Linked DNA regions of Tamandua tetradactyla. The protein of the gene in region 4 binds, or shares a complex with, the protein of the main gene of each other region. Links are inferred from orthologs where the notes say so. Each region holds a gene or a part of one and is shown on either strand. Other genes may lie near its edges. The genes, in order: RBL2, E2F4, TFDP2 and MYBL2.

Region 1 (7,176 bases), on a different chromosome or scaffold from region 4:
AGTTAAAAAATGGCTCATTTTAAAACCTTACCTCTTTCTTTGAAGAAATTTTAATGTCAGCTATTAAATTATTTTAGCTTCTTTTTTATTGTGAAAAAGAACATATATACAAAAAACTTCCAAGTATATTTTAACAAGTAATTATAGAACAGATTTTAAAATTTGGTGGATTACAGTTCCACCAAATTTTGCTTTTTCTTCTAGCTGCTCCAAGACATTGGAGACCAAAAGAAATATCAATATAATGATTCAGAAGTCATACTCATTTGTTAAATCCTGTCTTCTCTGTTATAATCTTCTTTCTCTCTCTCTCTTTTTTTTTTTTGGTGAAAAATAGCATATATATATATAAAAAGCAATAAATTTCAAAGCACATCACCACAATTAGTTGTAGAATAGATTTGAGAGTTTGGTATGGGTTACAATTCTACAATTTTAGGTTTTATTTCTAGCTGCTCTAAAACAAATATCAATATAATGATTCAGCAGTCAAACTCATTTGTTAAACCTGACCATCTTTGTATAAATCCACCATCACCTTTGATCTTTCTCCCACTCTTTAGCGGTATTAGGGCTATGCCCATTCTAACTTTTTCATGTCGGAAGGGGCTGTTGATATTATGGGATAGAGAGACGGAACTAGTTGATGTTCTGGAGAGGCTGGCCCCTCTGCATTACAGGACTTATCTGGTCCAGGGACCCACCTGGAGGTTGTAGGTTTCTAGGAAGTTACTCTAGCGCATGGAACTTTTGTAGTCTTATAAACACCCTAGGTGTTCTTTAATATTGGCAGAAATGGTTTTGGTTGGAGTTTGGCAAGCTATGCTAGGTAGCAATGTCTAACTGAAACATGACTAAGAGTGACCTCCAGAGTAGGTTCTTGACTCAATTTGAACTCTCTCAGCTGCTGAAACCTTATTTGTTACACTTCTTTTCCCCTTTTGGCCAGGATGGCATTGTTGATCCCACAGAGCCAGAGCCAGACTCAGCCTTGGGAGTCATCTCCCACACCACTAGGGAGACTTTCATTCCTGGATGTCATGTCCCATATTGGGGGGGCGGGGGGCGGACAATGTTTTCACTTGCAGAGTGGGGCTTAGAGAGAGTGAGGCCACATTTGAGCAACAAAAGAGGTCTTCCAGACGTGGCTCTTAGGCATACCTATAGGTAGGCTAAGCTTCTCTGCTACATACAGAAGCTTCACAAGAGCAAGGCTCAAGATCAAGGGCTTGGCCTATTGATTTGGGTGTTCCTAATGTTTGACACAGTATCCGGGGTTTCCCTGGAGGTAAAGTTTAATAGCTTCATATTTTTTTCTCCCATTCCTCAAGGGGCTTTGCCAGTACTTTTTGATTACCTACTTAATATACTCTGGGATGTATCCTGGCATTACATTAAGCTATACAGGATTCAAGACTCTCATTCTTATTCTGGGCTCCCTGTGTGTGGATTGTTTAAATGAGTTATCTGAGCTAGATTATGTGCTACTGAAAATTTAGGTTCTGGACAAAATAAACCTTTCTTCTTTTGGTCTCAAAGAGCAGGTGAAGTTCTAAAATATAGGCAATTTCTTCCTTACCCCTGTATTCTGAATTATCTTAATCACAACCTGATCAGCTTTGTTCTTATCTCTAAAAAACAGGTTATACATATATAAAACAGCCCCTCAATGTCCAGAAATAACAATCACCACTCCAGACTAACTGCTATAAAAGCTTATAATCTAGGCCCCAGTTTTCTTATAACTATTTTCTAAATGAGACCATACGATATTTACTCTTTGGTTTCTTGTTGTGGCCATGTTTTGAACATACAATCTGCAACCAATTCTCTTGAAAATACTGATGTTAAATATTTTTAAACATTTTATTGTGGAATATAACATATATACAAAAAAGCAATAAATTTCAAAGTATACTGTAACAAGTAGTCATTTAATAGATTTCAGGGTTGGTATGGGTTACTGTCCCACAATTTTAGGTTTTTCCTTCTAGCTGCTCCAAGACACCGGAGACTAAAAGAAATATTAATATAATGATTCCACAGTCATACTCATTTGTTAAATCCTATCCTCTATTATAACTCCTTGCGTTAGTTTGCTAGCTGCCAGAATGCGATATACCAGAACTGGAACAGCTTTTACCAAAGGGGAATTTAATAAGTTACAAGTCTACAGTTCTAAGGAAGAGAAAGCGTCCAAATTAAGGCACCAACAAGAGATTACCTTCACTCAAGAAAGGCTGATACTGTTTGGAACAGCTCTGTCAGCTGGGAAGTCACATGGCTGGCGTCTGCTGGTCCCTAGCTCCTGTGCTTTGTCGTTTTCAACCTCTGTTCCTGTGGGGGCTCCTCACTTTGCTTCTCCAGGGCTGGCTCTCATCTCTTGACTTCCCTTGGCTCTCTTTAGGTTCTGACTTGCTTAACATCTCATGGCATTTCCATATCCATGTTTTCTGCCTGTCAACTCTGCTCTGAAGTTTCCGTCTGCTCTGTCATTTCTGACTCTTACGTTTCCTCTTTTAAAGGATTCCAGTACACTAATTAAGACTCACCTGGAATGAGTGGGGTCACATCTCCATTTAATCAAAAGGTCATGTCCACAATTGGGCGTGACACATCTCTGTAGAGATATTCTAATCAAAAGTTTCCAACATACCGGATTAAATGAAACAGCTGCCCCAACAAGACTGAATCAAGATTAAAACATGGCTTTTCTGGGGGAACATAATATTTTCAAACCAGCACACTCCTCCTCTTTTGATCCTTTTCCCAATCTTTAGGGGTATTTGGGTTATGCCCATTCTAACTTTTTCATGTTGGAAAGTGGTGTCAATAGTATGGGATCAGGGGATGGAACTAGTTGATTTTCTTGGAGAGGCTGGCCCCTCTGAGTTTCAGGACTTATCTGGCCTAGGATTCCAATTACAGGTTGTAGGTTTCTGGAAAGTAATTTAGTATGTTCAGAGAACATTTTAACAATTAGTTATAGAACAGATTTCAAAGTTTGGTATAGGTTACAGTTTCACAATTTTAAGTTTTGCTTCTAACTGCTCCAAGACACTGGAGACTAAAAAGAAATATTAATATAACCATATTAAAATAAATCATATTCTAATAAAATACATATGTAATGGGAATAAAGTTTAAATTCTACTAAAAATAGTGAAGTTCATTTTACTTCAATAAACAATTCAAGTTTTACCCCTGGTAAAGTGTGATAATAGTATACAAAATAAGTAAGATCATTATTTTAAAATTTAGTATCTCCATCCTAAATATAAGGAAAGAGAACTTTTACAAACTTCTTTCAAATGCGTGTAAACTGTTTGTGTAGGGCTTCTATTCTTGTCCCAGAGTCACCTTGAAACTGAGCATTGACAAAGCAAATTCAGTCCTAAAAGGGTCACTAATTAATGTGAATTTTACCTCAGGTTTCACAGAGAGGGTTTCATTGTCTCCAAACTGTCCCTAAGGTGTCTTGTTATCTAGCCAAGTCTCCCCTCTCTATCCTCTCTCCTCCCCCTATATCTTCCATAACTCCTTTTTTTTTGTCCCAAGCAGTTTAGTTCTCTACCTCAGTTTACATACCACACTGCGCAAAGCAAAAATAGCAAGACAGCAATTCTTATTTAATACACACACACACACACACACATACGCACACACACACACACACACACACAGCTTTATATAAAGTTAAACCAACTGGGTGGCTGAGAGTAGTACACATATGTGAGTTAGACGGAATGTAAAGTCACCCTATGGAAAAAAAATAATTTCTGCATTAAAAAAAATCCAATAGCTACTTTAAAGGCTCACATAAAATTAAAACATAGGATAAAACTAGAAATTAGGAGCGGAGTGGAGATTTGAATTTAGGCAAATAAGCCCTTGCTGTTATCTTAATTTTTTAGATAAAGAAACCCAGGTTACGAGGAGTTATGATTTCTAGGGACAGCTTGAACATTAAACCTTCATTGTCAACGTTTCTTGGACATTTTCTTTTTCTCTCTGCTAGATGGTCTCGCCGTGGAGAGGCACTTAAAACGCGGAGAAACCCTTTTGCCCAGGGGTGACGACACAAGTTTTTTACGTAATTTTTGGCCCACATAAGCCTCCGGACTGGACTACATTTCCCAGCAGGCCGTGCTCACAACTACTGGAGCCCATAAGAGGTCCCGCGCCGTTGGTAGCAGCGCAGTCGTGGAGAGAGCGACTGACGGGCGGGCGCTTCACGGTTTGAATGGCTCTGGGTCCTGGCCCTCGACTATCCTGAGGACCAGCCGCCCTGGGGTGCGATATGCCGTCTGGAGGCGACGAGTCGCCGCCGCCCCCGCCTCCCCCGCCGGCGGCCGCGGCCTCAGAGGCTGAGGAGGAGGACGACGACGGTGAGGCGGGGGAAGTCGCGCAGCCGGCCGGATCGCCGGCCACTCAGACCCAGCGGCGGTTCGACGAGCTGTGCAGCCGCCTGAACATGGACGAGGCGGCGCGGGCGGAGGCCTGGGACAGCTACCGGAACATGAGCGAGAGCTACACGCTGGAGGTTCGTCTGTGCGAGGAGGCGAGGGGGCTCTCGGGGCCTAGTGGTTGTGTCCCGCTCCGGAGATGGGGCCCCGCCTTCTCACCCCGGACGGGGCGACCCGCAGGGACCCGAGGAGAGGCCCCGGGCGCCCAGCCTGGAGCGGGATGGGAATCCTTTCTGCCCACTGTAGTCTTGGAAATTAGGCTTTTAAAAGTCTCTTAGCGGCTCTGAGGGTGAATCTGGTCTTGCTGCTCTTTCCTCTTGGCTCAGAATGGGAAACACGTCTTGTCCTTAAGTAAAACGGCGAGGCTGAGGTTGTACTGCAGTCACCATTACAGAAATGGGCCTGTGTGGTCGTTTTGCAGCCCTGAGTACCCGATTGGCAGAATGAACATGTGTGGTTGTCAACACTGTACTGAGAAGGGAAGGAAGGGGATTTGCCCAGGTTCGCTCAGCGTTTGATCCGATTTTAGCGCCTTAGGTCTCTAGGCTTCTCCTCCACTTCTTTTCCTGTTGTACCAAATTGCTTTCATTGAGGCATCGAATCGTTTGAATTAATGTATTGTTAAATTTCGTGCCGTGTTTATGTACGGTAGTAAGACTAATCTTCCTTAGGTCAAGTTAAATGAACTTTTTGCCTACCGGGATATAGAAGCACGCCCCCACTAATCACCAGTGAGTCAGAGCTGCGACTGCTCTGAGGATCTTTTTTGGTCACCTCAGACATTGCACAGGACATGTCATGACCCAGGCATGTCATGTCTCTTTCTTCGTATGGGTCGCACAGATGGGAAAAATGGTCATTTAGCCAGTAATCGTCAACTGAGCAGGCGGTCTCCTCTTTTTGGGCCGAATGGAAAGTGGTACGGAAGTCCGGGTGGTTTATCAGCTGTTTCACTGCCCGTGTGTCTGGCGTTTACACATGAGGCCATTTGTTTTTCTTAAGTTGTTTCATATGCGGTTTGTGGAAAGAGTAGGGCAAATAGGCCCAGGGTGTGAAGATCTACGTTATTATTTAACTCGGTTGTGTTTTTGCCTAAAGTGTAATTGCTGACAAAGGTTATTTTTTTAAAAAATTTTATTGCATTAATAGAATTTTATTTCATCTACTACCCCCTCTTCCCCTTTGTTATATCTACCGAAAGATAGAGTAATATACTTGGGGATTTGACAGACCTAGATGACTTGAGACAAAACTGCTACAAAATTCAAATTTGTGATAAATAAACGGTAGTTATTTTTACCTACCTCACAGAGCTTTTCTGAAGGTTAAATAAGGTAATGTGTGTTCCTGGTACATAGTAGGCACTCATATGGACAGTGCTTTAGATCTTACAGAGTTCTTTCATGTACTCAATGATATGGCTGGAAAGACCATGCTTTTCTTTATCTCTCAGTGCTTTCTGTCCTTTGGTCTGGCAAAGAGGACTCCTTTTTTTTTTTTTTTTAATTTGATCAGGGCCTAAGGACCTCCAAGAAGCTCTTATTTTACCCTCAGGATAATCCTGCAAATTAGGTACAGCCAGCATTATCACCATACTGTAGAACTATTCCGATATATAAAGGTTAAGTTTTATGAAGGCCAGCATTATGTAAGTGCATAGCAGATAGGAGGTAAATTATTTTTGAAAACACATTCTATTACTTGAGTTTTTGAAAAGACTCCAGTTTCAGTTTCTTAGCTCAGTTTACCCAGTTAATGCATGAAACTCCATCCATTTATCAAATATTTCTTTGTTTTGTGTACACTGTTTTAGGTACTGAGGATAAAGCAATGAAGAAAACTGGTAAAAATTCCTACTATGGTGGACATTATATTTAGATATGATGTGAGATAACATGGAATGTCATTCTCATGGAGTGTACAAAGGAAAATAAAGCTCACATGATATTTAATACAGAATACTGGTTATAGAGTTGTACTTTTTGATTGCTTGTATTTTCTGAGCTTTATGATTAATTCATTTAATTCTCATTATCCTTAGGTAAGAAAACTGAACCTAAGAAGTTTTCCCAAGGTGTTGTAAATATATGGCAGAACCGGAATTCAAACCCAGATCTACTTGACCCCATAGGTGTATGACCATGAGTTGTTAATTTTGAGAGTGACGCCTTTTTTTGGTGGAGGAGGGGAGTTGTGGGCATCAGGGGCTTTTCAACAAACATTTTTTAGGACCAAAGGGAAACCAGGTACGGAGCCTGCTTTTAACCTGTCTGTAGCCTAGTAGACCTACATTAATTAAGAAATAGGTCCTCAGTCTACTTTGTTCTTTAAGCACTATAAAATTATAATATGTAAGACTAATTTTGTTTCTTCTTTTTGGGAATGATATGGTTGTAAATTCCCTAGAACCAAAATAGACCATTAAAAATCATCTACTGCAAACCTTTCATTAAAACACAGGATAATGCTGTGACTTAATTTTATATTAATAAGATATGTGGATGTAAGAGAGAGAAGTTCAGTTGTAAATTAAATTTTGTTTTGACTTTTTGTTTTGAAATATTTTAAACTTGTACAATAATAAAATAATACAAACCGCATACAAAGAACTCCACCATACCTCATCCTTCTCCCCCAATACCCAGATCCACCAGTTTAAACTTTTTTTTGCCATACTTGTTATATCATTCTGTCTATCCATCAGTGTATT
Region 2 (7,200 bases), on a different chromosome or scaffold from region 4:
AATCCTAAATCCCAGGCCAAAGGAGAGCCAGGCACTGGCAGATACCCAGAATAGGTAACTTGGAAATGAGTCACTGAAGGAGGCAAAGCATGAGGCCTGCTGGAGGGAACTCATGGGTGACATGGCTGCTGTGGCCAAACTTCAGGAGGGGCTGCCAGGGAAAGTAAGGCACAGGTGGATATGGGTGGGTGGGGGGATAAGAAGGCCCCATCAAACAGTTTCCCTGTTAAAAAGAGCTTGTTCACTGCCATAGCAAGGAGAGGCCAGGTGGGGGCTAGGAAAAGGACAACTCCAACAGGGTCCCTTCCAGCTCTGGCATCGCATTCCATAACACAAGGTGCAGCTCTTGGGTGCCAGGAAATAACCTCCTCACTAGCTGCCAATCATGCCTCACCTGTGCTCTCAGCTGCTGGGCTGGCCACCCCCTGGACCTCGGTGCTGCAGGAGATAGGGGTAGAGGTGGTCAGCTGGGGACTGCTTGGGCGTGAGGCTTCCAGGGGCTGGGCCAGGGCAGGTTTGGGCAGAAGTGGAGGGGTAGAGATAGTAGGTGGGCCCTGGAGCAGATCTTCCGGTGGTGGAACAGGCACAGCCACAGGGGGCGAGCTCCAGGCCTCCTTGTTCACCAGCAACACCTCGATGGGGCCACTCACACTCTTCAGATGAATTTGGTACTTCTTCTGCCCATTGAGGCCCTGGAGGTTGGGGGTAGGGATGGTGGACAGGTATTGGGACCAGACTTGGCTCCTGCCTGTTCCTGGGTCAGGGCCAGAGTGTCCTCTCCCACCCCAGGCTGCCCGTCCTCCTAGATAACCCCAAACCCCAGGCCTCCCCCTACCTGCCCCACCCGGGACTTATCAGGCTCCACAGCCAGCACCCGCCCTCAGTCATCCCCGCCTGCCTGAGCTGAGCACCCACCTCTGGGATGGGCACCTCCAGGCTGGTGCCCGATGGGGCCCGGATGGCCAGGAGGGTGTCTCCTAGAATGAGAGGAAGGATGGGTCAGAGCCCACAGACTCAACTTCAGCTGGAATGAGAGTGCCTGCCCTTTGCAGCAGATCATGGTCTCTGAGGGGCTAGACAGTAGGCCTCACCCACACCCCACAGTGGATGGGGTAGGAAGCTGAAGCTTTTCTCTCACCAAGAGTCCAGTGGCCAGTAACTAGAAAATATGGGTTCAAATATACAAAGCAAAAGATCGGTAGTCAGGAATACCTCACTGATGCACTGATGGGGCTGTTCCCTAAGTTCAGGTGTTCTAATGCCAACATCCCTTCCCCAGGAACAACCTAGGGGATGTAAGGTAGAGAAGGAACGGCTCTTGTACCCACATGAAACTAAGCTATCATTAGAAGTGGACACCACTGTCCCCTGCATATAAGCATGCACACACATGCGAATGTGCGCACACACACACACAAACGCTCTCTCTTCCTTGTCCCTCCATCATGCCCAAGAGGCCAAGCCCAGGGAATGGTGCAGGTGGGGACTACAGACTTACCCATGCCTGATTTCTCTTTGGTCAGGCCCAGGAACCCTCCTAAGAGATGGAACTCTTCTTGGGCACTGAGCCCAATGCTCAGGGCTGTGGCTCAACCCAGGCCCACCCCCATCTCCCCCTACCCAGGCTCTGCTCACCAGCAAAGCATCTGCAGATGTCCTCATGAGTCACGTAGGCCAAGGTGTGGGGGTTAAGGAGAACGGTGGATGCCCTGTCTATGGTAACAGAATGGCGACCACAGAGAGGACACAGCTTTTTAGCAGGTGTCTGAGATAAAGACCCTCAGAAAAAGTACTGGAGTCTGAAGTCCACATGGGGAGGGACGACAAGCCAAGTCTGGAGGGGAAGGAACTCTGAGGAGGGAACCCAAGGAAGCGATCCAGCCAGAAGCCTCAGGAGCATCCTCCCAAGAGACACAGGGCTAAGGGCACCAGAGAGCAAACCCATCTGGACCAGAGGGCCCCTCACCCATGCCCCCAAAGTAAAGACTGCCAGCAGGATATCAGCTGTTCTGCACATCCTCTGTGACGTTCCGGATGCTCTGCTGCACCCACACCTTGTGCTGGTCCAGTTCTTGCTCCCGCTGCTGCAGTTCCTCGATCTCCGCCTTGAGCTCAATCAGCTTGTCAGCAATCTCCCGGGTATTGCAGCCAGGCCCCACACCTCTGAGCCCAGGAAACGGAGCTGAGAGAGGCTGCCAGGAACTGAGTCCCCTGGCCCCTGCTCTCACTTGCACACACCCTCCCTCACCCTACGCCTCTGACACTTCTGCATAAGAGATCCTAAATGCCCCCACTCACTTCCACTGGATGCTGTTCTTAGATTTTTTTTCAATCAGCCCGATACCTTCCAGCACATTGGTAATATCATAAATCCGCCGCTTCTGGCGCACAGCTAGGGTGTCAGCTGCCTGGCAGACAGAACAGAGTGGAGGGTGGTCAGCCCCTTTCCCAGGTGTACTCCTAGCCACGTATCTATTAGACAAAAACTCCCACTGCATCCGTCAGGTCAGCAGGCCCCAGCTACCTTGAGACTTGATGTGCAGTTGTCTGGCAAGGGGGCAACCTGAGTCCCAAACCTCCACTCAGGCACTACATAACTTGGGACCACAGAGCCAGCCACGAGGGCCAGCACCTGCAGCCCCGCGCCGGCACACAGCTGACGCTCAATGCCCTTTGCCGAATGAATGAAACATCTCCGGGACCTCCCTTCTGTGAGAAAGCACACGATGGCGGCCTGCTCTCGGAAGATGCAGTGGGACCGCCCCAGGGGTTCCCGCTCCCGGCCAGGCCTAATCCACCACCAACTCCTCCGGTCGTCCCCTTAGCCCAGGCCGCACCAGCTTGAGGTCAAGCACGCCGTCCTTGGCCTCCTGCAAAAGCGACACGAACTTGGTGGTGAGAAGTCCCAGACTCTTCTCGTGCCGGCTTGGAGTGCCCGGGGGCGGCGGCGCCTGTGGCCCGGCCTCCGCCATCTCGCCCGCCCGCCGCCTCCCCTCAGCCAGGCCAGGCCAGGCCGGCGCCGCCGCCACTTCCGCTTCCGCTCCTGGTCGACCGGCTGCCGGTGCCGGCGACCCTGCTTCCGCTTCCTCCCTTCCAGGGAACTTGGCGCAATTCCTTCATGTGAGCACCGCCGCAAAACGTTAGGAACCGTCGGAAAAATTTAACCGCCAAGGAGGGCGAAAACAAACCGGAGATCCCGAAAACAGGACAGAGTTGGGAGGGCTAAGGAGGACGTCAGTGGATGGCCCCCGCAGTAGAGAAGGGAATGTCACCGGAACCTTTCTTGCCAACCTTCCTTAACACTGCTAACTCCGCTCCAGACCCTATCTTGGGAGAGGAGACCACCCTGCTTGCTGAACCCAATATGTTCTCCTAAACCTTTTCCTGGAGTTTGCCCCACCCTATTCCTGTCCTTCATTTCCTAACAGCCAGCGCTAACTACATTTAGCTTGTCCACTTCCTCTACATCCCAAACCTCCTGCTCTGGTCCCAGCCTCAGTTCTTTCTTTCTTCCTTCTTTCTCTGCTCCACACCACAGCGCTCAAAGGTCTAGTTGCTGCCATAAGATTACAACCACTTTTTAGCCCATGCAAACATGTTTATCTACGTGTAAATGTGTGTAAAGCACTTAGAGCAGTTTCTGGCACGGAGAGCGGAATATGTTCTTGCTAGTATCATTTTATTTTTAACATTGTTATTTATTATGTTTTACTATTGGTCAAGTTCTCTGGGAAACAGACCTTGAATCATGGATATGCTTGCAAAAAGTTTACCAGGGATCCACGCTTCTAAGGGAGTACAAGAAGCCGAAATCAGGCAGACAAAGGAATTAAGTTAGAATGCAGTTATAATAGAGCCCTCAGCCCATCCCATTAGGAGTTTTGAAGCTGGGTTGGCCCTTCAGAGATGTTCTAAATCCAGACAAAGATCTGGGTCTATGTACCTTAATAATGACCGAGAAGATGCAGCTGTGAGCCCTCAGGCCTGTAGGGCAGATTTGGGAGGTACAGTGGCCGCTACCCAGTACTATCCTCTAGTCCCTCCAAAACTCCCTACAACTCTGAGGACAAGAAGCCACCTCTTTGGCACGGCTTTCAAGGCCTGTGACCCCCTTCATACCATCACCTACCACACAGCCTCTTCAGAACAGCCTGTGGCTACTCTCCTCTGCAGAGGCAGGCACTTTCCCATCAACACACTTCATACCGCAGTGTTGTAGTCTGCATCCATATCTGCACACCCCACCCCAACCCCCGCCCCAGGTATGCCTGGGTCCTGAGCACGAAGGAGGTCCTGAAGTGGGCTGGACAAGACTTGCAGTTTTCAGAGAGTTCAGCCCCCAGCCCCCAACCCTCATGGAGGTGGCCCCAGCCCTCCCCACTTCATCCCACAGTGCAGAAGCTCTTTCCTGTTGGGAATAAAGCACCAGAGACTCAGCTTCCTTCCTTTCTGTGTGTGGCCTTGGGGAGGGAGGGGCCTTGGAGGGAGAAGGGGGCTGGGAGGTGGGAGAGAGGTTTCCCCAGGGACAGGGATTCTATTGCATGGCCAGGAGTGGGCTGGAGTCACCCAGACCCTGTGAGGGAGGGAAGGGAGTGAGAAGCTCAGCTGCAGGACTGGAGGAGACAGAGCCATCATCAAGGCCAAGGCCGTCTGCAGAGGAGGGGGAACTGAGTGCCTATGCAAGCCTGGTGAGTCCCATACTCACCAAACTGTCCCCTGCAACTCAGAGCAGGAACAGGGCCCAGCGGAGGCCTGTGCCCACCCTGCCTCACTGTGTCTGGAGGAGCACAACTAGGAAACTCAGCAGGTAAGGCCTCCCTCTCATTTCCGGAGGGGGCTGGGCAAAAACCACCCTCCGCCTTCTTAGAGGGGCCTAGACAGAGGCTGCAGCTCAAAGGAGCATCCACTGAGCTCATTCTAACCCAGATCCTTGCCTTGCATTCCTACCGCAGCTCCAGCTCCTCCAGGGCCCGCCGTGGACTCTGCCAAGGACGAAATGGAGCCTGCCCTTCTGCCTGGTATGAGTCCTGGGTGGGCTGGGGGAGGGATGAAGGAAGGAAGATGGGAACGTGGGCTTGGGTCCTTCCTTGGCAGGTCTGGTTGGAGCTAGGGGACAGGCGGGAAGGGGGGCAGGTTCGGCAGACATTTCCTGCAGGCCCTGCCAGACTGACGCAGCTGCCCAGGCTCTTCCTGCCCAGGGCCTGAGTGGCCAGAGCAGGAGAAGGCGGAGCAGCTGGCCCGGGGTGCCGCGCTCAAGTGGGCCTCCGGCATCTTCTACCGGCCCGAGCAGCTGACCAGGCTGGGCCAGTACCGTAGCCGCGAGATGCAACGCACCTGCTCCCTGGAAGCTCGCATCAAAGTAGGCATGAAGTTTGGGGGAGCAGGAGTACTGGAGATGTGCTGCGGGGTTGTCCAGGCCTCACTAATGGCTTCCCTCCCACAGTCAGTGATGCAGTCGTACCTGGAGGGCGTGCAGACTGGTGTGGGGCAGTTGGCACAGGCCCTTGAGTCCATGCAGGGAGCCCGTGAGGCCCTGGGCCAGGCCTGTGGGTTGCTCCAGAGCATGGCTGAGTCTGCAGAGACCCTAGCACCCTTGCAGGAGCAGGTGGCCCAACATAAACAACTGAAGGCCCTGTCTCAGCTGCTGCCCCGGCTGCAGGCAGGTGAGTGTGCTGGGGTCCCAGGCCTCAGCTCTCCAGCTCCTTCACTGATCAAGGGGCTGGGGCACTAGGTGGGGATCACATGGAGGGACACACCAGGAACCTCCCAGGGTTCAAATGACATGTGAAGCATATGTAATTCAGTTCATCCTGGGTTTTCCAAGCATGGGTTGTCTGAATTAGGACTGATACACAGGCACCCTGGTTACAGTGAACTATTTTCCTAACAGGGTGGGTGAAAAGCCATTTGTGTGGTCCCTAACTTCTTCTGGAATCCCTGACTTCCTCTTGTTCCATCAGCCCAAGGGTCCACACATGGTCCACCAGGCTTCTAGAATTTCACTTGTGCCCTTCCAATGGGCCAGTGTTCCACCGTACTGATTATTAACATTTACATATCACCCCAGCCCAGGTCTCCTCACCTGCTGCACCTGTTGCACAGGTATTAACTCTGAGACCAGGGCTGTCTCCTGTGTTCTTCATTAGTGCCTGCTGCAGTGACCCACACACAGTCCCTGATTGATGCCCAGCAACTCCTCGAGGCATATGTGAGCCTGCGGGAGCTGGAGCAGCTGAGAGAGGAGACCTGGGCACACCTAGGGGACCTGGAGTTGCCAGATCTTGAGGGGCTAGGCCCTCTGGCTGAGGCACTGGGCCAGGCTGTGGAGATGGTTGCAGGAACTGCAGGACAGCTGGCCCGGGAGGACCCTGCCCTGCTGGTGGCTGCTGTGCGCGTGGCTGAGGTGGAGACTAGACGCACAACTGCCTTGGGGCAGGCCCCCCGGAACTGGCGGCAGCGCTGTCTGCAGGCTCTACAGGACGGCCTGGAGCGGGTCCACTTTGGGACACATCTACTGCCTGGGCCAGGTGCCCTAGCAGAGTGGCTGGAGGCTCTGCAGGTGGCACTGCCAGCCGAGTTGGCCACAGCTGAGGCATTAGTAGCACCCTGCTGCCCACCGCACTACAAGGTGGTCCAGCTATGGGCTCATACCCTGCACAGAGGCCTGCGTCGCAGCCTGCAGCAGGTCCTTGCAGGGCCTGAGCTGGGTGCTGCTGACGCCTTCACCCTTCTGCATTGGGCCCTGCATGTGTACCTGGGGTCAGTGCCCTGAGGGCAGCGGGAAGTGGGTGGATTGGAGACTGGGGACTCATTATGACCCCCAGCTACCCATCTTCAGGCCAGAAATGATGGGGAGTCTGGAGTTAGGGCCAGAGGCTGATGTGTCTCAGCTGGAGCCCCTACTGTCCCTGGAGGATGTGGAGTGGCTGGAGACAACGTTTGTGGCCAAAGTCCAGGTGAGTGGTTGGGGCATGGGTCCAGAGCAGCCCTGATCATTAGTTGTAGGTTTTTGTCTGTACAGTCACTGTCTCTGGCAAGGTCAGTGCGTTGCTACCTCCTGCTGCTTCTTACCCCTTTCCCCAGGCAAGTGTGGCCCAGTGGCTGCAGAAGGCACTGGATGGGGAGGTAGCCAAGTGGGGCCAGGAACAGGAGCCAGACATGGACCCATCCGGCTTCTACTACTCACCAATGCCAGCCATC
Region 3 (7,621 bases), on a different chromosome or scaffold from region 4:
CCATTTACAAAAATTAATGCAAAAAGGATGTAAGATCTAAATATAAGAACCCAAACTATACAAACCCTAGAATAAAACATGTTTTCTTATGTTAGGCCACGGTTTCTTATACTTTACACCAAAATCATAAGCAACAAAAGAAAAAAAGAGAAATGGGACCTCATCAAAATTAAAAATTTTTGTGCATCAAAAAACTTCATCATGAAAGCAAAAAGACAACCTATGGAATGGGAGAAAATACTTGGAAGACATATATCTGATAAGAGTTTAATATTCAGAATATATAAAGAAATCCTACAACTCTACAACAAAGACAAAACAGCCCAATCAAAAAATGGGCAAAAGAACTAGAATAGCCATTTCTCTAAAGAGAATATACGAATGGCTAATAAGCACATGAAAAGATGCTCAACATCATTAGCCATTAGAGAAATGCAAATCAAAACCACAATGAGGTACCATTTCACACCCACTAGAATGGACACTATTAAAAATAATAATAATAAGTGTGGGAGAGGATGTGGTGAAACAGGAATATACATTCATTACTGGTGGCAAGGCAAAACGGTGCAGCCACTGTGAAAAAGAGTTTAGTTGTTTCTCAGAAGTCTAGAGTACTACCATATGATCCAGCAATCCCACCGCTAGGTATATACCCAGGAAAATCGAAAGCAGAGATTCAAACAGATATTTACACTCTGATATTCATAGTAGCATTAGCCACAACTGCCAAAAGAGGTAAGCAACCGATGTGTCCATCAAATAATGAATGGATAAACAAAATGTGGTATATATATATATATGATGGAATATTATTCAGCCACAAAAAGGAATGAAGTTCTGGTACATGCTACATCATAAATGAACCTTGAAGACATCATGTTGCATGAAATAAGTCAGCTACAAAAGGACAAATATTGTATAATCTCAATGATATGAAATAATTAGAATGTGCAAATTCATAAAGTCAAATACTAGAACACAGGTTACCAGAGGATGCCATGGAGTCAAAGACTGAAGAATTAATGCTAACGGGTAAAGAGTTTCTCTACGTGGTGATGGAAAAGTTTTCATAACAGATGGTAGTGATGGTAGCACACAGTGAATGCAATTACCACCATTTAAATGTATATTTGAAAGTGGTTAAAATGGGAAATTCTTAGTTGTATCTATATGTTATCATATAAAAATTTTAAAAAACCATAGAACTGAACAACCTGAAGAATGAACCCTAATGTATGTAAACTATGGCCTACAACTAATAGTTTATCTACAGTAATACCGTTTCATCAATTGAAACAAAAGCAGCACACTAATGCAATCTGTTAGTAATATGGAAAACGACAGGCATGCAGGTAGAGGGGAGGTATATGGGTTTGTGAGAACTCTGTACTTTCTACATGATTGTTCTGAAAACCAACAATTTCTCTAATTATAATGATAAAAGAAACAATGGACTAGAAATCAGAATACTTAGGTTCTAGTTCACCACCTTTTTTGTTTATTTTATTTTTCTTACTCTATTTGCTTACCATGTTCTAAAAACTCTCAAATACATAAAAAGCCTTTTAAAATAGCAAAGTGCCTAGACACTTGTTTTTGTGAAGCTTATTTCTGTAGCAGAGAGCCTAAGTTTACCTATAGTTATACCTAAGAGTGACTTCCAGAAAACCTCTTTTGTTGCTCAGATGTGCCTCCCTCTCCAAGCCCAGCTCTGCAAGTGAAATCATTGCCCTTCCCCCCTACCGTGGGACAAGACATCCAGGGGTGAAAGTCTCCCTGGCAGGATGGGACATGACTCCCAGGGACCAGCCTGGACCTGGCACCACAGAAGAGACAACACCTTCTTGACCAAAGGGGGGAACAACACTGTAACAAAACAATGTGTCAGTGGCTAAAAGGGTTCAAACAGAGTCAAGAGGCTATTCTGGAGGCTGCTCTTATGCAAGCTTCAGCTAGCTATTGCTAATTACCAAGGTCTGCAAACTGTGACCAAAACCATTCCTGTTAACCCTAAAGAACACCTACGACTCTATGTGAGAGTCTACAAAAATTTCACGAATTAAGGTTGCTTTTCAGAAACACACAACCTCCAGATGAGATCCTAGACTAGATAAGTCCTGAAAACCAGAGAAGCCAGTCTCACTAGTTCCATCTTCTGAGCCCATATTCTTGACACCCCTTTCCAACATGATAACGTTAGAATGGGCATAACCCAAACAACCCATAAAGACTGGGAGAAGGATGAAAGGAGAAGGAGGAGTTGTAACAGAGATGACAGGATTTAACAATATAACATAAACAATATAATATCATTATACTGATATTTTTCATCTCCAGTGTCTTGGAACAGCTAGAAGGAAAAACCTAAAACTGTTAACAGTAGCCCATACCAAACTCTGAAATCTGTTCTATAACTCCTGGATACAATGAACGTTGGAATTTATTGATTTGTATATATATCATAATAAAAAATGTTTAAAACAGCTAAGTGCTATGTAAATATAATTCATGCATTATGTACAAAACAAGACAGTATTTCTAACATCTCAATTCCTAATTAAACAAGTTGCTCTTTGAACATTTTAGGGTATGTTTTAGCGTACAGCTTTGATCCACAAGCACACGCTTTCCACATGAAAGGTGAGCTTATTGCTACACCCCATTTCAAGCTGCACTGCAGCGTACACAGACCAGGTAGTTTCAGAATTTCGGCTGTAACGGGAAAATACGAAGGAGCCCGTTGGACCACACATTCACAGGAGTTGGCGGAAAATGACAGGATCACAAAATGGCAATGCGAAGTCCTGCACACTAGAAAGTTTCAGCTTTCTTTCCTACGTAAACAAGCAGAAAGGAGGAAAGCTGAGAAGGGAGGGTTAGCAAGTCTCGGAACTCGACGAGCCAACGTACGCACCCCATCGCTGCCGCTGCCCCTGCACTCCCAGAAGGCGGCGGGCGGCGCGGCCCTGGGGGCCCCGGGAGGCGCGTGCGGGGGGCGGCTCCGGGCGGCGCATCTCCGCCGGGCTGGGGGCGGGGCGGGGCGGGGCGGGGGGGGCAGGCGCGCGCAGCCACGGGGGCGGTGTCTCCGCCGCGCGACAGGCGGCCCAATGACCGGGGAGGCGGGCTGCCGCGGGCCGTCCTCCACGCCGACTTCTCCGGGTCGTCCCGAGCGGCACCGAGGTCGTGCTTCTGCCTCGCCGAGGACGGGCGGAGGCTGCGTCTGCGTGAGGGGGCCATCTCCGGGGAAGGAGGACCGCGGCGCGGGGCCCTTCCCTCCACTGGCCTCCAGGGCGTCCCTCAGGAACACCACACCCGGCCCCGCGACGGAGGAGGAGCGACCGGCCAGCCCCGCCTCCGAGGCCCGCGGAGAACGCGGCCCTTCCGCGGCGCGGGCCGGGCGGCGGAGCGGACAGAGGGCGGGCCCACGGCGGTCACCCCGCGCCGCGAGCGGAGCAAGCGCGGGACGCTGCCCTTCCCGGCCCCGCGGGGCAGCGACCGGCCGGCAAGTGTGCTCCCGCCGCGGCCCCGAGCCCACGAGGCGCCGTCGGGCCGTTGTGGCCCCCTTTGGCGGCGGGACAGCACGGGGCGCACCCATTGGTCCGCTGGACGCATGACGCAAGGCGTTGCCCGCGGCGGATTGGCCGAGCCGGCCGTGCGTGCGAAGATAAACAAACCTTGCCCCAACCCTCCCGCCTGGGGCGGGGCCGCGCGCCACACCGCCCCGCCCTCTTCGGAGTCGGCGCGGGTCCGGGCTTCCCGCGCTTCTCTGTTCCCATAAACGCTCTTTTTTACTTTTCACTTGATAAGTATGTCTTTAAAAAAAAGTGTATTGAGAACCCTTCACGCACGTACAGTCTAGCCATGGTGTACAGCCAGCGGTTCACATATCACATCACCGTGGCCAATTTTAGAACATTGGCCTCACTCCAGAAAAAAAATTAAAATATCATGTGTCCCCTACCCCTTATCCCTCCCTCTCATTGACCACTAGTATTCCCATCTACCCAATTCATTTTACACCTTATCCCCCCTGTTATTTGTTTTTCATCTTTGTTTTTTACTCATCTGCCCATACACGGATAAAAGGAGCATCAGACACAAGGGCAGACACTGTTTTTGATGCTTGGGACACACCTGTGGACAAAACAGACCCGCTGGCCTCGGTGGAGCTTGCGGTCTAGTGGGGTGGGAAAGACCATAGAGAAAAAATAAGCAGAATAGAAAGTTACATGCTGGCAAGGCTACGGAAAAATTAATTATAGAAGGTGCTCACAGGTGGCTTCAGTATTAAAAACGGTGATCAAGGAAGACAGCAGTTAAACGAGGATGGAGGGGCGAGAGCACCGTGGATCTTTGTGGGGGACAATTTCTGCGTAACTGCGCTTAGGTAAAGGGCTCGGAATCCAAGAACGCCGGATGCAGGACTCCCCCAGTCCTGAAATGCCAAAATCCCGGAGGAGCGATTAACTTACATTTTCCACTAACAAATCATAAGGATCTATTTAGTGCCTACAAGAAATTTTGTTAAGGTTATATTCAATTTGATTTAGCAAATAGTTATCGAACTCTCTAGGCACTGAAGATGCAAAAACGACTGAGGCGGACAGAACCTCCCTTTCCAGGAACTGGGTCAGCCAGGGAACGGGACTCCCACCCCCAATACACGTGTCAGGCAGCGATGGTGCAAGTACACACTGGGGCTCGGGGACTATACTAGGCGGCAAGGCATTATTGAGAAGCTGTAGTTGTCAGTATATCTCTTATCTATAAAAAAAAGTATGCCCAATTATGCGGTAAGGGTATGGTTTAGAAATCGGGGATTAATGTTTCTAAGGTTAAGAGTGAAGTGAAGGTAATACTAAATTGAATCATATGAAATTGGCAGTATTCGACAATTTTCATGCAGTTCCCCTTTCTTGCAGTTAATATGAGGATTTTGCTTATATAATATATATAGTAAATATTCAAGAAATGATGGAAATTGTTATAATCATTCAATAATATTGATTTTGAAAAAAATGTGTAGGTGTTTCACAACACTTCCTAATACCACAACGTAAAATGGACCAAGTTTCAAATTTCCCATATACTGGTGTGATCTAGCTGTGAATTTCCATGAGCTCATCAGAACGTGCTGTAAAAGACAATAAAAGCCGATTTCACAGCAGGCCAAGAAATTCAGAATAAGGAACAGCCTGGTTTTGAAGCCAAAAACTGAAAATTCTCTAGAACAGAATAAATCATCAAGTTGCCACAGGGAGGAAAACTTCATGTAAATCAAATTTTCCTTCCCACTCATAACTCCAGCTGAGCAATTTGCACAACAGTCAATTTTCCCTCTTCGTTCTCACTTCCCCATTAAAGGATCCTCTTCTCTCTGAAAAGGAAAATGAAGCTTCCACCATCTCCCGGTTCTGGCGAGTAGATGTCTAAACCGTGATAGAATCGAGCTTATTGATTCAGCAAAAACTTAGGAAGTAGTTACTGTATGCCCGAAACAGTGGCGGGCGTTGGAGAAGTAAATATAAATGTCCAAAAAGCTCCATTAATCTGGTGTTTCTGGTGCTTCGAGCGATCCCCTAGTTCTTGTCTAAGCTTAACTACTTTCTCCGGAAAAGCTTCGTCTAGCCCCACCCCAGCTGTGCTCCGCTGCGACTCAGACGGCCTTCCTGACACTCACCGGACTCGTGACTGCGCACTTCGTGTCCGAATCCTGTGACTCTGGGGGGGTCACAGCCTTGTCACCCTGTATTCGCTACTGTCTCTTCGGTGCGTAAGGGAAGAAGAGCAGGTGTTATGGAAGGGATGAGAGTGCGGCGGCCGAGGGCGTCGGGGAAGAAGGAGGGTCAATCTCCCACTTGCATTTGTGTGGGCTGTCCACTAGGGGGCCAAGCGCCGTGTGAGGAAGACCAGCCTCCCTCACAGCTAGACCAGGTGACCTGCCCCGTTAGACCTGGTGACTGTCACTTTGAGAGCTGGTGACCTGGCACGTTAGACCTGGTGACCTGCCACGTTAGACCTGGTGACCTGTCACATTTAGACCTGGTGACCTGCCACCATAGACTAGGTGACCTGCCACGTTAGACCTGGTGACCGGTCACATTTAGACCTGGTGACCTGCCACCATAGACTAGGTGACCTGCCACGTTAGACCTGGTGACCGGTCACATTTAGACCTGGTGACCTGCCACCATAGACTAGGTGACCTGCCACGTTAGACCTGGTGACCTGTCACATTTAGACCTGGTGACCTGCCACCATAGACTAGGTGACCTGCCACGTTAGACCTGGTGACCGGTCACATTTAGACCTGGTGACCTGCCACCATAGACTAGGTGACCTGCCACGTTAGACCTGGTGACCTGTCACATTTAGACCTGGTGACCTGCCACCATAGACTAGGTGACCTGCCACAGTTAGACCTGGTGACCTGTCACAGACCAGGTGACCTGCCACCGCTCCATCCTCACATCCACTCCTGGCGCTGGACGCTCTTTTCTGCGTGGGCTGTGAGGACACCTGCCTGTGGCCTCTCCCACACGGATGCGCTCAGGAGTCGTAGGGGGTTCCAGCCGGGGTTCAGACCCGCAGCTCTGGGGCGCAGTGTAGGCCGCTTTTCCAGCACGCTTCCTGGCGTGCCGCAGGGCAGGCAGCCACACGCTGGGTCACAGCTTCTCATCAGACACAGCCCAGGGTCAGCGGGGTCCAGAGAGGATTGCTTCTAAGTGCCCCGTGGCACCTAATCTGCCCGGGGCTGCCAAGGGAAACGACACACCCAGCGTCAGGTCGGACCTGCCCTGGGGACACGTCCTGTGGGCAGTCGGGCCACCTTGGGGCCAGGCCAGTCCACCTCTGGGGTGACTGTTAGGGGACGGGAAGGGTTTCACAGCCACGTGGAATAAAGGCAGCTTCTTAATCCCAAACCTAAAGCCCTTTTTACGATAAAATATCTTCTTCATCCTCAGACATGTACAGTAAGCGATGTGAGGCCGGAGGACTCTGGCTGGACCCTCACAGCAGCCTGAGGAGGAGAGCTGCCGCCCCGGCGTCCCCACCAGCCCCGCTGCCCTCCCAGAGGAGCCCGGCACCCAGGCCGCACCGCCATCCCGGGTTTCTCTTTCTGAGTTGGACACCTGTGTGCTCCTAGCCAAATCTCTTCTTTAGTTTCGCATGTTTTTGCACCTCATGTATTTGGTGCCAAGCCATTATTTATCCACAAACCCTTTTTTCCTCAACATTATGTTTAACATCATCTCTCTTGCTAAGTGCAATTTATTCATTTTCACACAAAAATAACAATTTACATAATCCATTTTCTTATTGATAGGGCATTTGGGTCCTTTACATCTTTTTTATCCATTATAAAATCTGCCACTATGAATATTCTTGCACATGTCATTAGTTACATACAAGGGTGAGAAGCAAAATACTTAGCAACTGATAAGGCACAGATCTTGGCCTAGTCTCCGTCCCTTCTTCCCCTGAGAGAAGCTCTTATGTGCAGGTAATTTTGATAGATGAATCCAAAGAACAGGAGTGCTGGGCTAGACAGCAGGGAACCTGAAGGAGGGAAAGTGGGTTTAAGGATGTGCTGCTGAGACCACCACAGCTGGGCCCA
Region 4 (7,112 bases):
AGGTCAAGGGCACGTACTCTCACTTAATGCTACCTGACCGACAGGCACTGAGTGCTGGCGGCGGCCTGTCAGCTCCAGGGCAAGGTCTGGGGGAGGAAGGCTTTACACTTCTATACTTTTGAAAAAATCAGGCACTTCCACCCTACTCTTCTTTTTAATTTTAATTAAATGTGGTTATGGGTGGTTTTTTTCCTTCATCCTCTTTCTTTTAACAAAAGTTTTAATGTTTCAAAAGGTACACCCCCCCAAAAAAGGTTAAGGTTTCACCCAGAATGTTATCATTGACACTCAAAACCAGACTCCCATTTCATGTTTTTCTTCTGGATTTAACAATTTTTTTTAACTTGCAGAATACCCGCAACCTGTATGGATAGAGTAGGGATTAATGCTGATGATAAATGTAATCATTATGCACGGATTATAACAGGATTTTAAGAAAGTACTAACTTTCTGGGGAAAAAAATTAAATCATTATCTCAGTAAGTATTTCCATTTCTGCATATTCCTTTTCAATCTTTGCCTACACACAGGCAGAGTCAGAGAATTATGGATTATTTTATTCTAGAACAGGCAATTTTCCAAGTTGCTCCAAAAGCCTCATAATTTTAATGGCTGGGAAAATGGGGTTCACACTGCTCACCTCCAGGGATGTCAGGTGCCCACGGAAGGTTAGTAACCTTCCAACGCCATGCATCAGGGCCCTACACCAGGTCGCCTTCATAACGTGTACTCTTAAGTCAGGAATTCGTAAACTGAGAAAAGCCTAGACATCTCCAAATGACCAAGGCGATCGCAGGACTTGTGCCCAGAGGAAGGAAGAAGGCTTCCTTTCATGTCCATGTTCTTTTCCCCTTCTTCGCTAGAACCTGGCATCACTTCCTAGAGTCGCTCTACAGCACAACGGAAAAACTGTCTCAGAATGTAGGCTCTTAGGCTGCAGCTGTCTGTCTCCTCTACGATTATCTTGGGTCAGCAACATCTCTACATCCACAGAGGACCAGATGTGGGTTGGCAATGGAGGGCCTTAATGAGTGTTTGCTCAGGGAATGGCCGGATACACAAAAAATGAAAAAACATGTGGAACTGCTGCCTATTAGCTGACAAGAAATGTTCAAGCAAAATTTTTACAAACAGGAGAGGAAGCAAGCTTGTTTAACTAATCAGCTTCATCCCGTCATTTGCACCCCACTGTACAGGGTCCTTCCATCACTGCAAAGTAGCAGGCAGAAAATTTACAAAATATTAAAAGCAAAACGAAACTGGCTTAAGCTGCCCCAAACTACTTGTTGAAAGAAATCGCCTCTGCTTCTCCAGCAACACAGCATGGGGTGTAGCTTCTAGCGGGAGCTCAACAAATGTTCCCTAAAGGGTTAAAGGTGTGTCTGCCTGGAACTGGTGCCTCAGGGCTCTGTTAATGGGACAGCATCTCAGACAGCTGAGGGAGTCCTGTGAGATAATATACTCACAGGACATGGTGCTGGCTGTCCCCTTCATATGCGCTACCATTACTCCCATTTAACAGATGTAGAAGTGGAGGCGCATAGTGTTAAGCCACTTGCCATTTCAGTCCCACATATCCTTTCTTTTGCTTTGTTGTTTGTGCTTGGCTCTGTTCCAGGGCCAGGGTGAGTCAGAGCCTAAGGAGGAACAAGGGCACTGGGGTGGATAATTACAGTAAATGGCCAGGAAACCAGCTAAGGGTTGTGGGGGTACTAGGATGGGGACCCATCCCCCACACAGGAGGTGGGGGGAGGTTACTCCACTAAGCTTCAGGGGAGATGCAACTGCGGAGAAACTGGGGATGGAGTGGGGATAGTCACTTCCTGGAGCAATACTTCCTGAACCAAAAATCAGACAGGGTCTGACAAGTGCCCCAGTACTTCCAGGGACCAGAAAACTACTCCTGGCAATTGGACGGGCCCTAGGATACTGTGGCCTGAGGAAGACAGTCCCTGTGTCAGGGACCTTGCCACTGCCCAGGGATGGGACTTCCCTGCTAAGAGGCACTGCAGGGAAAGCCAGCTATGAGTCAAGGTCTGTAACCTCCACCCAGAAGGTGAACACCACCATCTGCAGTGGGTCTAAGGTTTGTCTGGGCCAAACGATTCCAGGGAGGGAACGGGGTGGAATACCACTGTCCCCTGACTCCCAGATTGGCCAAAAAGCCCAGAGCTCAGGCCCCAGGCACACAAGTGTGACAAAGGGAACTGGGGCCCATGGACCCGGCTCCAAGCTCGACTCTGCCAATTATCCTCCGAGTGAATAAGTAAGAGACCGCAGTTCCTGCCTTTACCCCAGGGGCTGCTGGCTCCCAGCGGACTCCATACACATCTGGCTCTCTTCCCCTCACCTGCAAACCTAGATGCCAAAACTCCCCGAGTAGAACAGGAAGAGGGGTTTCTGCAGCTAAACCTGTCCGGGCCCGGAGCCCAGATGGAGGAGACAAAAGAGCCCCCGGCCAGCACCCTCCTCGGGCCGCGGCAGAGGGTTTGGGGTGCTATGCTTCCCGGGATGCTGGGTTGAAATGCCCACCCGCAAATGTGCACGTAACTGAGGTCTGAAGGATGTCTTCCAGGTTTTAACCTCCCACTTTACTGTGACTCGAAGGGTCACTTTCCCTCTCCAGGGATCGCTTCCTTCCCATGTAAAAGCCTTTCCAGCTGACACCGGCCGTCCCACCCCCACGCCGTAATTAGGCGGGAGACAAAATGACATCATGCAGGGCCTGGCCCGGGTCCCAGGAGACCCGCCCGCCACGGCTCGGAGACTGAGGAGGCCCGAAGAGCGGAGCGAGGGGCTCCCGAGAGCCCCCCGGTTTCGCGCGCGCCCGTGCCTCTGACCGCCCAGGCGGCAGCATTTCCCGCGGAAACCCCCACAGAGGGATCACGGCGAAGGCATGGGTGAAGGTGGGGAAGGTGGGGGGAGGGGAAGGGCAGGGGACCCTCAGCCCGCCCTGCCCTGCTCACCCGCGCGTCCGCCGAGACATCCCCCCGGCCCGGGCCGCGCTGCGCCCGCCCGCCCGCCGGCTGAGCCAGGAGCCGGAGCGGGAGCCGGGCCGAGGCCGGGGCCAGGACGCGGGCTGCTCCGGCCGCTCGGGGCCCCCGGGCCGGGCTGGGCGCCGTCAGCTTGTCCGCAGGTCCCGCCGCCCGCTTGCGGGGGCAGCCGAGCCGCCGGCGCGCACAGAAGCACTTTCCTATCTCGCGCCAAGCGCGACGGCGCCTCCGGGGCCTGACGCGCGGGCGGGAGGACGTGCGTGGGGGGCGGGGCCTGCGGGCGGGGCGGGGCCACACGGGCCCGGAACCCGAGAACTTCAGAGCCCCCGGGCCCCGGGAAAGCGTGAGAGTGGCAGGCGTCTTGGAACTTGCCATTCGCCGCGGGCTGCCGTGTGACTGATGCCTGGCTCAGGCCGAGCGCGAGGGAGGCTCCACGACGGATAGTCACGTCGGGCACACTGTCTGTGCAAAAGCCCCAGTAGTCCGAGTGGCGCTCCTGGGTCCCCACAAGCCCCTACCTGGACCAGGGCTGCTCCTTCGTCTCCGTTTCCTCTCCAGCCTCGAAGTCTCCTCGTAGCCCAACCGACCCTTTTAAAATGCAAACTTGACCTTCCGTCTCCGAGAACTTGAAGCCCTCGCTTCTCTTCCTCCGGGTAAATTCCTTACTCCCTATTCAGTCTTACAGGATTCTGCGCGATCACCGCCCTCCCCTCCCGCCCGGGGCCAAAGGAAAATTCCTAGCCTTCTTGCCATTGCTTGGACCAGAGACACTTTCCACCCCTCCAACTTGGCCAGTTCTTATTTATCTTTGCTGCCCATTGCCCGCAATCTGCTTGTTCACTTGCGTGATTCCCCCTTTGAACTGTGAACATCTGGGGTTAAAGGCCTCTGGAGCCCCCTCGCTATCCCCAGGCTCAAACCTTGGCCAAGGCCCCATGTAAACGTCTATCGAGCTGACTCTAATTTTTTACCTACTTAAACTCCTAGAAGTATAGAGAGGATTTGCCATGAGTTGCACCCAGGACTCCCTGGTAGTGCTGGGGCCAAAGTGAATGAACTATGGGGCAGGAGCTTGGGAGACCCTGCTTGTGCTATGGATCCCTCTTTCAGAAACTGCTGGCCACCTTGGCCAGTCTGGCCAGCAGCGGCACACTTACCACAGCATGAGGAAGACTGACATGGTAAGTGCTAGAACCTTCCACATCACTTCATTCAGAGCTCCTCCCACCTCAATGTAATTACTTTTCTCATAAAGTAATTCATGTGGACACCCCCTCTTCACTGCTGGAGCATAATTTAAGAGTTCCGGCTCTCAACCAGACTGCTTGGAGTTTGGATCCCAGCTCCACCACTTACTAGTGGAAAATCACTCTTCTGTACCTCAGTTCCCTCATCTACAAAAATGGGATTTACTGGGGGGTGCAGGGGTAGTTCAGTGGTAGAATTTTTGCTTGCCATGCGGGAGACCCGGGTTTGGTTCCTGGTCCATGCACTTCCCATAAAACAAATAAACAAATTCAACAAGTGGTGCTGCAATGACAGTATACATGGAAAAATAATGACATATGACCCCGCCATATAGCATACACACAAAAAAGGCATTTATTAAAAACTTCAATAGCTATTACTCTGTACCAGCCACTGTTCTGTGTGCTTTATAAACATTTATTCATTTAATCTCTATAATAACCCTATGGGGTAGTCATTAGTTTTATCCCCTTTGGGCAGATGGAGGAACTGAATCACAGGCTTCCCCAAGGTCACACAGCTAGTGAATCGCAGAGTAGGGATTCGAAACTGCACTGTCTAGCTCTAGAGTCTATGCTCGTAATCACTTCACTGGTATCCTCTGTAGGGTGGTTGTAAGATTGAATAAATTAGTATGTGCAAAGCACTGAGGACAGTCCCTGGCACATAATAAGTACCCTATTACTATTAGCTTTTATTATTGTAACATTTCTGCTACCCTCACTTTTTCTTTTGAGGTCCAGGGAGCCCTTTGCACACACCACACACTCTTATGTGGACAGGGATGGACAAGACCTGGCAGTAGATTCAGGATATTTGCCCAAAGCAAGAGGCAGGAAGCAACTGAAGTCCACCTGGAACCTAGAACTGAGGCCCCTTGACCAGTCACTGGAGTGGGAGGGGCCTGGAGTCGGTACAGGTGTTCAGGCAGCAAGGAGATCATCCTAGTGCCAGCTGAAATCTGGTAATCTCCACCAGTATATTGTCTCTAGTTATCATACCAACAGGCACCTCCTCCCCACCCCAAGAAAGAACTCCCTGCATCCTGGATGTAGCTTCACCAGGGAATGGTCCCTGGGCCCAGAATTAATAACACACAAACTGTACTTTGCTGGCAGACTTCCTGACCATGCCCTTCTCAGGCAGGGAGGCATCAGCCATTTGGTCATTCTACAGTCTGCCCCTGGAAGACAAGTCTGCTCCACCCCAGGTCCCAGACCCAAGCCTTGCTCCTGCATTGGGAAGTCAAGGATCAAATCTATTTATTAAATGCTCAGGGCCTCGCACCAGGCTGGACATAAAAAATGATGAGTAGCATCCCATGGCCCTTCTGCCTGGAGTCTTTCCCTCTCTACCTACTGAGCACCCTCCTTGTCATATGTGTCCTCCTAACTACACTTACTCTACCCCCAGTTTTGTGGTTCTCTCCAGTGCAGAGGGCAATTCCACAATCATATTTTTAGCTTCAGACCTTTACCCTATTGCTTGACTCTTGGCAGGTAGTCATGGAAGGAGTTTCACACATTTTTTTAATTTGAGTGAATTTAATGTTACAAACTAACATTTCAGGTGGAGAGTTAGGAAGGCAGGGACCAGAACTGAAAGGACCTGGAATGCTAGTTTGAACTTTATCTTGTGTGGTATAGAACATTGAGAGAGACTTTGAAACAAAGGACTGTTTTTCAGTAAAACACTATTTGCAAATTAGTTATATTGTTTGAGTTCCAGAAAAGGAACAGCAAAGTATTCAGTTCAGAAAATAATAGCTTGATATTACTGGGGAAGAAAACATGTGCCAGATATTACTGGGGAAGAAAACGTGTGGCACATGTTCTACAGTCATCTTGCATTTAACGCTCACCTCAATGTGAAGCAGGGACTATGTGGTTCCCTATTTTAAAGATAAAGAAACTTGGGCACAAAGATGTTAAGTTGTCATGATTACCCAGCTTGCAGCAAAGCACCCACAATTTGAAATGTTTATTTGGAAAGTACTGTTTGTGAAAATATGCTGAAATAATTGAGGCTAGGCTATCATAATGAGATAATCCAAACCATGCATACTCTCCAGAAACTCACCAGCTGATAGGGGAGACAAGGAGTAAAGAGAAAATTAGCCATTTAAGGGTGAAGATCAACTACAAGAACTGTGGGTGCCTAACCAAGAGCAGATTTGAAGGCTTTTCGAAACTGAGTGACTTAAGGAATTTGCAAGGTAGCCATTGTGGGGAATAGTACTTCATGCAGAGGGAGCAGCCAGTGCATAGCAGGAAGGATTAGGAAATACTCAGGGATTGGCAAGAAAATGAAGTCATTCTTGACTCTTCTCTCACATCGCTTTCATCTGATCTATCAGTAAATACTATTGGCCTCAAACCCTTATCTTCAAAATATATCTAGGTGCAAAACACACATAAAAAGATACTTAACATCATTAGTTGTCAGGATGAAAATTAATACCAACTGGGATTTATAAACCTGTTAGAATAGCTAAAATTAAAAAGAGTAATGTTAAATGTTGGTGAAGATGGGGAGTAATTATACTTCTTGAATATTTTGGGTGGGAGTATAAAATTGTACAACCACTTTGAAAAACACTTTAGTGGTTTGTTAAAGACCACTTTGGAAAACAATATAGCAGTTTCTTAAAGACTTAAACCTATATCTACCATATGACCCTGCCATTCCACTCCTAGGATTATATAAGAGAAATGAAGGCTTATGTCCATACAAAGACTTGAACATAGCTTTATTTGTAATAGTTTCAAACTGGAAATAACCCACATGTCCATCGACAGGTCGTTGGATAAATAAATTGTAGTGTATCCACACGATGTAGTATTACTTGGCAAATCTCAAATTATGCTAAGT

Evidence for each region.
Region 1: MYBL2 (region 4) and RBL2 share a complex: the UniProt entries of both Homo sapiens proteins name them as parts of the DREAM complex. The link is inferred for Tamandua tetradactyla from reciprocal best matches to the Homo sapiens genes MYBL2 and RBL2.
Region 2: MYBL2 (region 4) and E2F4 share a complex: the UniProt entries of both Homo sapiens proteins name them as parts of the DREAM complex. The link is inferred for Tamandua tetradactyla from reciprocal best matches to the Homo sapiens genes MYBL2 and E2F4.
Region 3: MYBL2 (region 4) and TFDP2 share a complex: the UniProt entries of both Homo sapiens proteins name them as parts of the DREAM complex. The link is inferred for Tamandua tetradactyla from reciprocal best matches to the Homo sapiens genes MYBL2 and TFDP2.

The regions. Positions count from the first base shown.
Region 1 is NC_135342.1:47,206,695-47,213,870, forward strand, and holds the start of RBL2 (retinoblastoma-like protein 2), read left to right. Parts: upstream 1-4,159; 5' UTR 4,160-4,300; coding exon 4,301-4,543; intron 4,544-7,176. UniProt on the Homo sapiens protein: Key regulator of entry into cell division. Directly involved in heterochromatin formation by maintaining overall chromatin structure and, in particular, that of constitutive heterochromatin by stabilizing histone methylation.
Region 2 is NC_135342.1:60,882,877-60,890,076, reverse strand, and holds the start of E2F4 (transcription factor E2F4), read right to left. Parts: upstream 3,009-7,200; 5' UTR 2,973-3,008; coding exon 2,838-2,972; intron 2,409-2,837; coding exon 2,299-2,408; intron 2,164-2,298; coding exon 2,002-2,163; intron 1,680-2,001; coding exon 1,636-1,679; intron 978-1,635; coding exon 916-977; intron 693-915; coding exon 395-692; intron 1-394. Other genes in the region: EXOC3L1 (exocyst complex component 3-like protein), read left to right, coding at 4,542-4,688, 4,953-5,018, 5,444-5,663, 6,147-6,759, 6,839-6,956, 7,084-7,200. UniProt on the Homo sapiens protein: Transcription activator that binds DNA cooperatively with DP proteins through the E2 recognition site, 5'-TTTC[CG]CGC-3' found in the promoter region of a number of genes whose products are involved in cell cycle regulation or in DNA replication.
Region 3 is NC_135341.1:86,245,287-86,252,907, forward strand, and holds the start of TFDP2 (transcription factor Dp-2), read right to left. Parts: upstream 3,004-7,621; 5' UTR 2,918-3,003; intron 1-2,917. UniProt on the Homo sapiens protein: Can stimulate E2F-dependent transcription.
Region 4 is NC_135327.1:8,518,812-8,525,923, forward strand, and holds the start of MYBL2 (myb-related protein B), read right to left. Parts: upstream 3,016-7,112; 5' UTR 2,987-3,015; coding exon 2,967-2,986; intron 1-2,966. UniProt on the Homo sapiens protein: Transcription factor involved in the regulation of cell survival, proliferation, and differentiation. Transactivates the expression of the CLU gene.